3 linked regions of the Macaca fascicularis genome follow. The protein of the gene in region 1 purifies or fractionates together with the protein of each later gene. This does not show direct contact. Links are inferred from orthologs where the notes say so. Each region holds a gene or a part of one and is shown on either strand. Other genes may lie near its edges. The genes, in order: SORBS3, WASL and DLG5.

The links.
Region 2: the proteins of SORBS3 (region 1) and WASL purify together in Homo sapiens (co-immunoprecipitation; 3 studies listed by BioGRID and IntAct, with this or other methods). This does not show direct contact. The link is inferred for Macaca fascicularis from reciprocal best matches to the Homo sapiens genes SORBS3 and WASL.
Region 3: the proteins of SORBS3 (region 1) and DLG5 purify together in Homo sapiens (co-immunoprecipitation; 3 studies listed by BioGRID and IntAct, with this or other methods). This does not show direct contact. The link is inferred for Macaca fascicularis from reciprocal best matches to the Homo sapiens genes SORBS3 and DLG5.

The regions. Positions count from the first base shown.
Region 1 is NC_088382.1:25,659,846-25,663,490, forward strand, and holds part of SORBS3 (vinexin), read left to right. Parts: intron 1-66; exon of another isoform or gene 67-86; coding exon 87-201; exon of another isoform or gene 202-252; intron 253-2,157; coding exon 2,158-2,283; intron 2,284-3,645. UniProt on the Homo sapiens protein: Vinexin alpha isoform promotes up-regulation of actin stress fiber formation. Vinexin beta isoform plays a role in cell spreading and enhances the activation of JNK/SAPK in response to EGF stimulation by using its third SH3 domain.
Region 2 is NC_088377.1:165,352,587-165,356,231, reverse strand, and holds part of WASL (actin nucleation-promoting factor WASL), read left to right. Parts: intron 1-1,831; coding exon 1,832-1,966; intron 1,967-3,645. UniProt on the Homo sapiens protein: Regulates actin polymerization by stimulating the actin-nucleating activity of the Arp2/3 complex. Involved in various processes, such as mitosis and cytokinesis, via its role in the regulation of actin polymerization.
Region 3 is NC_088383.1:68,536,082-68,540,526, reverse strand, and holds the start of DLG5 (disks large homolog 5), read right to left. Parts: upstream 2,928-4,445; 5' UTR 2,805-2,927; coding exon 2,501-2,804; intron 1-2,500. Other genes in the region: uncharacterized protein, read left to right, coding at 2,928-3,668. UniProt on the Homo sapiens protein: Acts as a regulator of the Hippo signaling pathway.

The sequences.
Region 1 (3,645 bases):
GTGAGAGGAATAAGGTGTACTGGGGAGGGTCTGAGGGGAAGGAGGCTTGGGAGGGCCTCAGCTTACCATGCGGTCCTCGCCTGCAGGGAGCTGACTCTGCAGAAGGGTGACATTGTCTACATCCACAAGGAGGTGGACAAGAACTGGCTGGAGGGAGAGCACCATGGCCGCCTAGGCATCTTCCCTGCTAATTATGTGGAGGTGAGCAGGAGGGACAAGAGCAAGCAGGGGTTGGGAGAGACTTGGGTTTCCTAAGGCAAAAAACTGTGAGGGGCTGGGCCATGTCTCAGTATTGTCCTTGGCCCCCACAGGGCCTGGCCCAGTGCTCTGCATGACCCCAGGAAATGTTTGCTAAGTGAGGGTGGAGCCCAGCCAAGGGGAGGACCCAGCAGCCAGCTCCTCAACCCTCCGTGTCCCAGACTTTCACCATTCAGATCCATCTTTCTAAAGCTATCTTTGGGAATCACCCTAAAGGCAACTAGCAAGAGTGGGAAGTATGCAACAGTTTATAAATCACATATACACACATAACCTCTTTCAGGTGTATTACTGCCCTGGTTCCTCTCACTTCTCAGAGAGTGATAGTTTATCTCTGTTTTACAGATGGGGATGCCAAGGTTCAGTGACAAGTTATTAGGTAAAAGATCTAGAATCTGAATCCAGGTCTTTTGATTCCAGAGAGAGGTTCTGGGCTTGGCAGATAAAGGGCAATAGGTGACTTTTAAGTTATGTCAAGTTATCCAAATTACTGGCATAAAGATGTTCATTATAGTCTCTTACTATTGTTTTAATGTCAGTAAAATATGTAGTGATGTCTTCTCTTTCTTTCGTTTTGTTTTGTTTTGAGAGATGGAGTCTTGCTCTCGCCCAGGCTGGAGTGCAGTGGCGGGATCTTGGTGCACTGCAACCTCCACCTCCTGGGTTCAAGTGATTCTCCTGCCTCAGCTTCCCAAGTAGCTGGGACTACAGGCGTGCGCCACCACGCCCAGATAATTTTTGTAATTTTTTTTAGTAGAGACGAGATTTCACTATATGTTGGCCAGGCTGGTCTCGAACTCCGGACATCAGGTGTTCCACCCACCTCAGCCTCCCAAAGTGCTGGGATTACAGGCGTGAGCCACCGCGCCTGGCCGATATGTTCTCTTTCATTCCTGATGTTGGCAATTTGTGTCTTCTCTTATTCTGGCTAGAGCTTTATTAATTTACTTGACCTATGGATTTTATTGATGTTTTTCTCTTGTTTTTGTTTTCAATTTCATTGATTTCTGCTTCTTTATTATTTCCTTATTTTTGCTTGCTTTAGGTTTACTTTGTTCTTTTTCTAAGTTTCTTGGGGTGAAAGTTTAGACTATTATTTGAAGCTTATTTTTCCCTAATGTAAGAATGTCAATGCTATACATTTCCCTCAGAATGCTGCTTTAGCTGTGTCTCACACGTTAATTTTTCGTCAACTCTGTTTTCTCATCTCCTTCGCGACTTCCTCTTTGACCCATGAGTTGGGTTGTTGTTTAATTCAGGCTCTTGATTTGATAGATATCATTAGGCCTCCCTTGCCTGCCCAATAATCCACTTGGTCCTGAAATTTCACAAAGTATATACAGTATTTCACTCCACCAGTCATTTCTGTCTGTGTGTGAAATAGTTGATTGGCTGCTTGATTTTTATGGGCAGAGTGAAGCAAAGAGAATATGAGGATTCTGGGCTCCTGCTGGGGTAGATGGGGAGGAGGAACCAAGACACTGGAACCCAGGGACACCCGGTTCTCGGCAGTGAGAAAAGGGTGAATCCTCAGTTTTGGAACAGTTCCCCAAGTTCTCCCTGCTGCTTGGAATGCCTCATTTTCTTCTGTGGTCCAACTTAAACTCTCTAATTGGACTGGCTTCCATCTTTTCTCTTGGTGTTTTTCATTCAGTAATGCCCACTCCACATACCCCTATGGAAAATGTTTCTTCCGGGGAGCCTTCCCAGACTCCTCCCCGTCCTCCAGCTCCCCTTGGCTGTGGCCACCCCTGGCTGCCCTCAGGGCTTATTTCTGGTGTTTATATCTTTCTCTGCCAAGGGGCAGGCCCACCTTCTCTTTGCTGTCTCACAGGAACCCCCAGTCTGTGCTATGTTGATGCCAAGGCCAAATCTTTCTCATGACCTTTCTTCATGCAGGTGCTGCCTGCAGATGAGATCCCCAAGCCCATCAAGCCCCCGACCTACCAGGTGCTGGAGTATGGAGAGGCTGTGGCCCAGTACACCTTCAAGGGGGACCTGGAGGTGGAGCTGTCCTTCCGCAAGGTGGGCCAGGCAGGAGATGGTGGGGTGGGTCGGGGCAGGCGAAGGTGTAGGTAAATATGTGCACTAAAAACACATTTTTTTTTTTCTTTTTGAGACAGAGTTTTGCTCTGTCGCCAGGCTGGAGTGCAGTGGCGCCATCTCGGCTCACTGCAACCTCTGCCTCCCGGGTTCAAGCAGTTCTCCCGCCTCAGCCTCCAGAGTAGCTGGGACTACAGATGCCCGCCACCACGCCCGGCTAATTTTTGTATTTTTAGTAGAGATGGGGTTTCACCGTGTTGGCCAGGATGGTCTCAATCTCTTGACCTCATAATTCACCCACCTTGGCCTCCTAAAGTGTTGGGATTACAGGAGTGAGCCATCGCACCTGGCCTAAAAACACTTTTTTAAAAAAGAGTCTGATGTACCTAGCTTCACCTAGGATTTCAAAATTTTCCCCAGTCTCTTTCATTATGCTTCCTTTAGTGTAGTCTTTTTTATTTTTTTCTGCATTTTTTTGAGACAGAGTCTCACTGTGTTGCCCGGGCTGGCCTTGAACTCCTGGGCTCAGGCGATCCTCCTGCCCCTGCCCCTATCCCAGCCTCCCAAGTAATTTTGGTCCATTTTTAAAAGATCATCATAAACTTCTAGAGTTATATATATTTTCAACTGCAGGTTGCAGTGGATCATACTCAGCATTTTTAAAGGTATAGACAGAAACGTTAGCGTGCGTCGCGGGCAGGAAGAGCACTTTATCCTACTGTAGGCAGTTCTGTGTACGCACATATGTATGTATTCTGGGCTGTTATTAAAATCTTTTTAACTGTGGACTGTGGTGAAACAAGTTTGAAAAATGCTGTTCTAGAAAGCAGAGAAGTGGTCTGCCTTTGGTTGATTTGGGGAGCAGCGACTATGCTTCCAAAATCAGCCAAAGACAGACCATAGTGAATGCTACCCAGAAGAGCTGGCCCCAGGGACAGAGGGGAAAGAAGGTGGCTGGATGGAGAGAGCAGGGGAAGGCAAGGGCTGGAGGCCACCCTCCCAGGGAGTGGTTCTACCTAATGTCAGCCAGCCTATGGCCTTGAGGACTCCCTGCCTGTCCTGGGGAGTGTGTTTTTGACACACTCATGACAGGGTCCCCCAGCGTGAGGCAGGAACAGGACCCAGGTAGGGCAGTAGTGGTAGCACCTGTCCCCTGTGCCTAAGGAGTGGACTGTTGATCTCATTCACACCTCATAGTGACAGTATGGTTATTTTCACTTAACAGAGGAGAAAACAAGGCTCAGAGAGACAGAGCAGCCTGCCTGAGGCCACACAGCTTGACCTGGCGGAGCTGGGTTTGGATCTGCATTATTAGCCACGGGCTCACCTGTGATTGGAGCTCTG
Region 2 (3,645 bases), on another chromosome or scaffold:
CATCCTGAGATTGTACACTTGCAAACACAAGTGTGTTTTGAGCAGGCCAAAAAATGTCCCACATTCTTCAGTCTTCTCTTTGAAACCCAGTGTCCCAGTATACACATTTTTTGTTTTTAAGTTATCGTAATTTTTAATGACTCTTGTAGAAATTTTTCTGTTCCTTTGTGTCCTGCTCAGTATTGTGTGTGAAGTTCAAGGTTGAGTTTGGTCTGTAATGTTAAAAACATAACATTGAGGGGAAGGGGGAGGGATTGCATTGGGAGTTATACCTGATGTAAATGACGAGTTGATGGGTGCTGACGAGTTGATGGGTGCAGCACACCATCATGGCACAAATATACATATGTAACAAACCTGCACGTTATGCACATGTACCCTAGAACTTAAAGTATAATTATAATAATAATAATAATAATAAACATAACATTGAACATTGTTATATGAGCAAGTCTTTATGGACTTTTGATCCTCACAGTATACTGATCTTACATTTCTGACTTTAGTATCCAGTTATAAAAGGTTTGTGCATACAATTGTTCTTTAGAATTCCTCTTACCAAAAGAGGGCGGCACCCCTCAGGCATAGTTAAGTAAACCTTAAACAGCGTATCTCCAAATCTTAATGTAGTCTATTTTTTATTACAGAGCCCAATTCCATTGAACTAAGATACCATAATTACTTAATCAGCTCCTATTTTAGGTTATTTCAGTTCTTCCTCTTTAAAAAGAATACATATTTATGTGAAATACTTTATTTTTATATTTACATTAAAATGCAAAGTATATTCTAAATGATTTTCTTAATTTTTAGTTTAGAAGTGAAATTACTGGATCAGAAAACATAATTACAGCTTTCAGAGGATTTGTAAGTGCTTTATCAGTATATATATGTATCACTTTCATAGTAACTGAAGGTTGAATAGTTACATTCTAGTTATAAAACTTAACTTAGGATAAAATTAGTTTATACCTTTTCATGATACAGTCTTGAGACGGAAGGTGGCAACATGGTGTACTGGGAAATCCTAATGCCCTAAAGTGTCCATTGCATGTAACCAGTTGGCTTCCCTTTTATACATCTGAAAGGGTTCTATTTAGGGACTATCCTTGGTAAAATTGAGACAGTAGTCTTTCAGATCTTTTTCGTATCCTCAGTATAGCATTAAAACTATGTGGCCCCTTCTGCAAATCACTTAAAATCTTAAACTCACTTTAGAAAGAAGATATTATAATCTGCCTTCCAGGGTGGTAATACTGCTTTCACGTTTGACTCAGTCCTTATCTAGATAAGTGCTTAACTGCTTTATAGAAGTTAGCCGTTACTACTACTTCATTGCCTAAATGTTCACTTTATTGGGAAACTGTATAATAGGGGGAATAAGAATGCTAGGTTTGAAGTCGCAAATTGCCTGGATTTGGAATTTCAGCTCTGCCATTTAGCTGTGTGGTATTGGGCAAATTACCCTCTTTAGTGTCGGGTTTCTGAAGTATAAAATGAGGTTATCATAGTAATAAAAATTAAATGAGGCTATATTTAAAAGTGATTAACACATTTTCTAACACATTTTAAGCATCAGTAAATGTTTTCAGTAATTGTTATGTGAGTGTTATATTAGTTCTTTATTGCTACATAAGAAATCACTTCAAAAACTAGTGGCTTAAAATAACAATACATGTTTATTATCTCCTTGTTTCTGTGAATCAGGAATTTAGGAGCTGCTTAGCTGGGTGGCTGCAGTCAAGCTGTCAGCAGGGGCTGTGATCATCTACATACTATTTTATCTACATACTATTTTGAACCTAATGGTTATAAATTTTATATTTTGCAGACTATGTCTTCAGCAGTGGTGCAGTTATATGCAGCAGATCGGAACTGTATGTGGTCAAAGAAGTGCAGTGGTGTTGCTTGTCTTGTTAAGGACAATCCACAGAGATCTTATTTTTTAAGAATATTTGACATTAAGGTGAGCTTTGATTTGCTTTCACTTTAAACTAGGTGATTAGGTTTTCTTTTTTTTTTTTTTTTTTTTTTTGAGATGGAGTCTCGCTTTGTCGCTCAGGCTGGAGTGCAGTGGCACCATCTCGGCTCACTGCAAGCTCCGCCTCCTGGGTTCACACCATTCTCCTGCCTCAGCCTCCGAGTAGCTGGGACTACAGGCACACACCACCACACCTGGCTAATTTTTTGTATTTTTAGTAGAGACGGGGTTTCACCATGTTAGCCAGGATGGTCTCGATCTCCTGACCTTGTGATCCGCCCGTCTCGGCCTCCCAAAGTGCTGAGATTACAGGCGTGAGGCACCGCGCCCGGCTAGGTTTTCTATATCAATTACAATTCAGTTTAGATTTGATTATCCTACATGTGATATTTAAATTTGTACATAAACTGATACTAGAAGAGCGAAGCTTGGTTTTTAGATATTGACATATGGAAATCATGACCAAATGGGAACATGTCTGAAGCCAGAATGTGAATAGTTTCCTATTTTATCTTTCTACTGCTACCATGCATTAAGCCTTTTTTTTTTTTTTTTAATTATGCCTATTGGTTCTTGGGCTTTCTCTACACTCTGTATTTTTTTAATGATACTCTTTTATTCTATCTTGTTCATTATAGATTAGCATACATAGTCTATTCAGGGAACAACAAAATAATATTTTAGCTCAGTATGTACTATTATTTAGCCCAGGTTTAAAACATTTCAATATCTATAAAAATCTGTTTGCTACTCATTTTTCCTTATGTTGTTTCTCATGATAGACTATATTCAGATTTTCATAGCTTTATGTCCCTCACTCCCAATCATAAATCACATTGCTATAGATTGGATACCCTTTGTTAGATATTCATTTCTTACAGTTGTCATAAAAACATCATTTTGCTAAGATGAAGTCTCCATTATTTTTAAAAAACCTTTCTGTAAGTAAGCCTCTATGGTTAATATTTATATGTGACAATAAGTGCAATGAGATTTTAATTACAAAATACTAAAACTACCTCTAAACTACTGGGCACTAATATGACCTGATAGATAACAGTCAAGAGATTTTTACACCCCTGGTCTCAGCTTTATTTGTAAAATCAGATAACCATCTTGGTCTGTTTTGAAGTATTTCACTGAGTTTAAATGAGATCTTAGTTATGGTATTTGGTAAATTGGTGCATCTTTTGTTGTTGTTGTTTTGAGACAGGGTCTTGCTCTTGCTCTGTCACCAGCCTGGAGTGCACAGCTTACTGCAACCTTGATCTCCTTGGCTCAAGCAATCTTCCCACCTCAGCCTCCTGAGTAGCTGTGACTACAGGCACATGCCACCACACCTGGCTAATTTTTGTATTTTTTTGTAGAGATGGGTTCTGCTGTTTTGCCCCAGGCTGGTTTCAAACTCCTGGACTCAAGTGATCCTCCTGCCTCAGGCTCCCAAAGTGCTGGGATTACAGGCCTGAGCCACCAGTCCCAGGCTAAATTAGTGCTTCTTAAAGTCTGCTTCCAAGACAGCTGAGAGATATGACATGCTTCTGTCACTAGCAGTGGCTTACTATGGCAGTGATTCTGGAGGGTGGGGAACACATACATAATTTGAAAGAAACCCCCAAGTGCTTTGACATATTTCTCATAACTGTTGAGAAGCACTGTTTAGAAAT
Region 3 (4,445 bases), on another chromosome or scaffold:
ACTCCAGCCTGGGTGACACAGTGAGACCCTGTCTCAAAAAAAAAAAAAAAAAGCCCCCAACACGCCACTGTTTGCTGACACACCATGTCACCCTCTCCGCCAGGGGCTTCAGGTGGCATCTTGCCATACCAAATGCTGTACTAACTTTTTTCTTTCTTTTTCTTGAGACGGAGTCTTGCTCTGTCACCCAGGCTGGAATGCAGTGGCACCATGTCGGCTCACTGCAACCTCCACTTCCCAGAGTCAAGTGATTCTCCTGCTTCAGCCTCCCAAGTAGCTGGGACTACAGGCGCCCGCCACCACGCCCAGCTAATTTTTGTATTTTTAGTACAAATGGGGTTTCACCATGTTGGCCAGGCTGGTCTCGAACTCCTGGCCTTAAGTGATCTGCCTGCCTCAGCCTCCCAAAGTGCTGGGATTACAGGCATGAGCCACCACATCCAGCCAACTTTTTTTTAATGTATTAAATAAAATGAACTTAACTTCTCCTTGAAAATTATTTTTCTAAGGATTTCATGACCCTCTCCAAAGTCACAGAACTCTGCATTGTGGTAAAACTGGGGTCTGAAATCAATGCCTGAGGGGATAAAATCCAAACCCTAATCTCTGCCTTCCTTAGAGGTCACAACTAGCTCCTGGAACTTCAGCCCCATGAGGCCCCACATTCTCCACCAGGCACGGAAAGGATGAGACCTAATTAATGGCAATTGATCCATCAATCAATCTATTCTCAGAGATTAAGGTGAGCATTGATTCACATGCTTCCAAACGCAGACTTCTAGCCTGTACTCTTAACTTCTGTGCTTCCTAGGAAAGACTTCCAGAAACAGATCTTAACTTCTTCCTTCAGAGATAGATTAGATACACAGATACAATTAAAAACAAATATTACTTTGTTGGGATCCCCTCTGTCCTTGTCCTCATGGCCACATCTGACAGTCCCTTCCTAGCATCTCCCAAAGCACTATCCCAGGAAAGGATTAGGTTTGCCCAGCAACTCTGACATGACCACAACTGGGGGGAAAGAATGCAGGTTTGACGGACAGAGATGCAAGTCAGAAGCTCAAAGTGGAGACAGGAGGACCACCAATGAAATGACCTGCTGTGTGGCCAGCAGTTTAGTCTCTCTGCCAGTTTCCTGCAGCTATAAAAAGTGAGGTTAAGATGGCCAATATAAGAGAGCTGTTACCAGGAACGGCTTATAAAATCATTCCCTTAATAAGTGGAGCTTTTAACAGTCAAATAAACGGGTCCCATCAGCCTTTGACCTTCAAGTTGCTAAGGGCAATTTCTCAGCCCTCTCGGTTCACTTGTTTTTCTTTTATACATATATCTTTATTTATTTTTACTGTACCTATCGATTCACTGTTAAAACAAGGACAAGACCTAGAAAGATGGCACTTTGTTTCCTGGCTCTGAACAAGTTCAAACAATAGGTTATAATTCAAAATTCCTGGTCCCCAATACTTTCTGGGCATTTTAACCACTCCAAGTCAGAGTCTTCTCTCTGGCAAAGAATAACAGAAAGCTCACATAGTGGCAACGACAATTGAACGTGACAAGGCAGAGTGCCTGCCACAATAATAGATGCCCAATAAATGCTTGTTCTCTTCCTCCCTCAGTGCCATGTCTTCTTCCTCCAGCTGCCTTGTCTGAAAGGCTGGCTCCACACTCCGCGACCAGACCAGGACAAGCCTACCACTTGTCAGAAACTCCCGCCAGTATCCGTTCTTGCCCCGAAACACACACTTACAAATCAGTCATCCCCAAGACCAAGGACACAGGGGTTCCAAAAGGCACCCCCAAGGGAACCAGTCACCAGCCTTCCTCCTTAAGCAGCTCGGTGCTCTCAGGGAGGGAACTTAGCCCCAACAGCCACTACTAGGATTTTCCCATGGTGCAATGCAACTTCCCCAACTTTTCAGGGCCCACAGTTTCCAAAGAAACCCAGGCAGGCATTGTGCACAATCAGCCACAAGTCCGGGCGAGACTGGGCTCTGAGCAGAGAAAAGGGAGCTGGGACAGCCAGAAAATGAAAAGGCAGCGGTGGCCCCGGCACAGGATGGCAGGCACCAAAATTTAAGAGTATGGGTCCTGGCCCAGGTCCCATTCTTTTAGACGTTATCCTTGGTTAAAGGCTAGCACAGGGTCCCAGAAGACTAGCGGGTGGTTAGGAGCCTCACAAAAGGGACTGATGAACATCCTTCGAGGTACCCCCTACCCGCTACTGGACCTGGTGGCCCCCGGGGACCCTGCCGCCGAGGCACCTGAGGGTGAAGGCCTTCAGCTGGGGGCATTGTTCACAGCGAACGGCGGGACTTGGGGAGGCGGCGGGACTTTGGGGTCCGCGCACCGCCGCCTCCCCAGCTGGGCTAGAGGAACGAGTCCACCAAGGCCATCGCCAGGTGGAGCGGCGGCCCCGGCGAGGTCCCCCTCCGCCAGCAGGAGGGAGAAGCGGAGGGCGCGTCCCAGAGGCGGGGGTCGAGGGTCTGCCACTCACCCGCTCCTTCCGCGGGCTGCGGCGGCCCGACGACGCCGTTCAGGTAGAGAATGGGCAGCAGGTGAGGCTGCGTCTTCTCCAGCGCCGCCCGCAGGTCCTGGAAGTGGTCCCGCTCCTTGGCCAGGAGCAGCTTGAGCAGCAGCTCCGCCTTGGCGCCTCCCGCCTCCTCGTCCAGCTGCCGCCGCTCGCCGGGACTGAGCGCTCCCGCGGCCTCGAGCAGCCCGAGCACGGCTTCCACCTCCGTCATGGCCTGGGCCAGGCTCTGCTGACACTGGGCGAGCAGCTCCCGGCGCTGGGGCTCCATGGTGGCGGGCTGCGCCGCCCCGCCCCGCCGGACGCCTCCCGGGCCCCCCGAGGCCGGCGGGCGGGCGGGCGAGCGCCTCGGCAGCAGCCCTAGCGCGCCGGGAGCCGCGAGGCGGCGGGAGCCATGGGCTGGGGCCGGGGCCTGGGCGGGCTGGGGGCCCGGGGCGGCGGGCGGCGCTCAGCAGCGGCCGCCTCCCGGGCTCCGGAGCGCAGCCATGTTGGCTGCCGCGGCGGCGGGACTGGAAGAGGAGGAGGAGGAGACGCAGGAGGAGAAGGAGGAGGCGGAGGTGGGGACGGCGGCCGGGGCGCGCCCCGAGGCCGGGCTCCAGCCGGGCATGCTCCCCCTCCCCCTCAGCCTCCGCGCGCGCCGCCCGCCCCGCGAGAAAACTCGCCCCGAAAGCCGGGCCGCGCGCCGCCCCCGGAGCGAGACTACAACTCCCGGGAGAAAGTCGCCTGGGCAGTGTTCCCCGGGCCCCCGACGGCTCCGACCCGGCTCGGAGGCTGCCTCGGCCCCCGTGCACCCCGGCCCGGTTCACCGGGGCCCCGCAGCCGCCGTCCGCTCCGCCATAGCCCCAGCCCCGCCGCCGCCGGCCGGTCCCTCCTCTCTCCCCTCCCCAGGCCGTCCCTCCGGGAGGTGGCAGCAGCGGAGGAGGGGACGGGCGGAGGGGGGGACGGGCGGAGGGGAGGGGTCCCCGCCCCCGGCCCGCCCGCTAGGCGGGGACGCGGCGCCGGCTGGTTCCCGGTCCCCCGAGGCCCAGGCGCAGCCGGAGGTGGGGGACGCGGAGTCAGGCCGGGCACGCGGCCAGCCCACAAGCTGCTGGAGACCCCCTCATACAAATCTTGCCCCCAATCCAGTGGGTCCTAAACTGAGAACTCCAAATTAAAGCCTGGAGACGAATGGTGGGGAAGGTTTCCCCTAAATTTGGACATCTCCAGATTACCACCTCCGCCGAATCCATGAGGCTTTTCCTCTCCAAGGAGCACCTAAGTGGAGAATTTCCCAATAAAATCGCCTCAACTGCGGTAAATAGGCTGTTCCCCGCGCCAGCATTTGAGAAGAGCTGCTCCCAAAGTCTAAAGGAGTTGGGATGTTGGCAGGAGGGTGTGTCGCTGGATGAGGAAGAGAAAGGTGGGCATCTGCGGTGCAGTCCTTGGTCTTTCTGGCAAGTGGGGCGCTCTCCCCCTAAATGTCTCAGAGGGAGACAAATCAGCGGACTACCTTGCTTCCTTTGATGACCTGGAAAGGGCCTGCAGTCCCCCTTAAAGCCCAAGAATGTCTCCTCTTCCACGACAGCCCAGCCGTTTGTGGACACATACTGCTTACCTCCCTGACTGCAGGACAAGGTCCTTCAAAGCTAGAACCCTGACTGCGCTCAGTGACCCCGCAGTGCTCCTCTGTCCATTTCAAACATCTGCGATGGAATGAGTGGATCTCGCTGGGGGTTGGGGCCACTTTGTCTACCCACACTGCCAGTCCCAGCCACATGCCTCCCCTCTTCCCTGAAAAAGCAACGTCTTCTTAGTCTGCTTCTTCAAGGGGAGAAGTCGTTTTTATTTATGGAAACGAACTCATTATATGGTAGAAAGAACAAGAGTATCAGAATTTGCACTTTGGATTTGGACTCCCCTCTGAGCAGCTGCA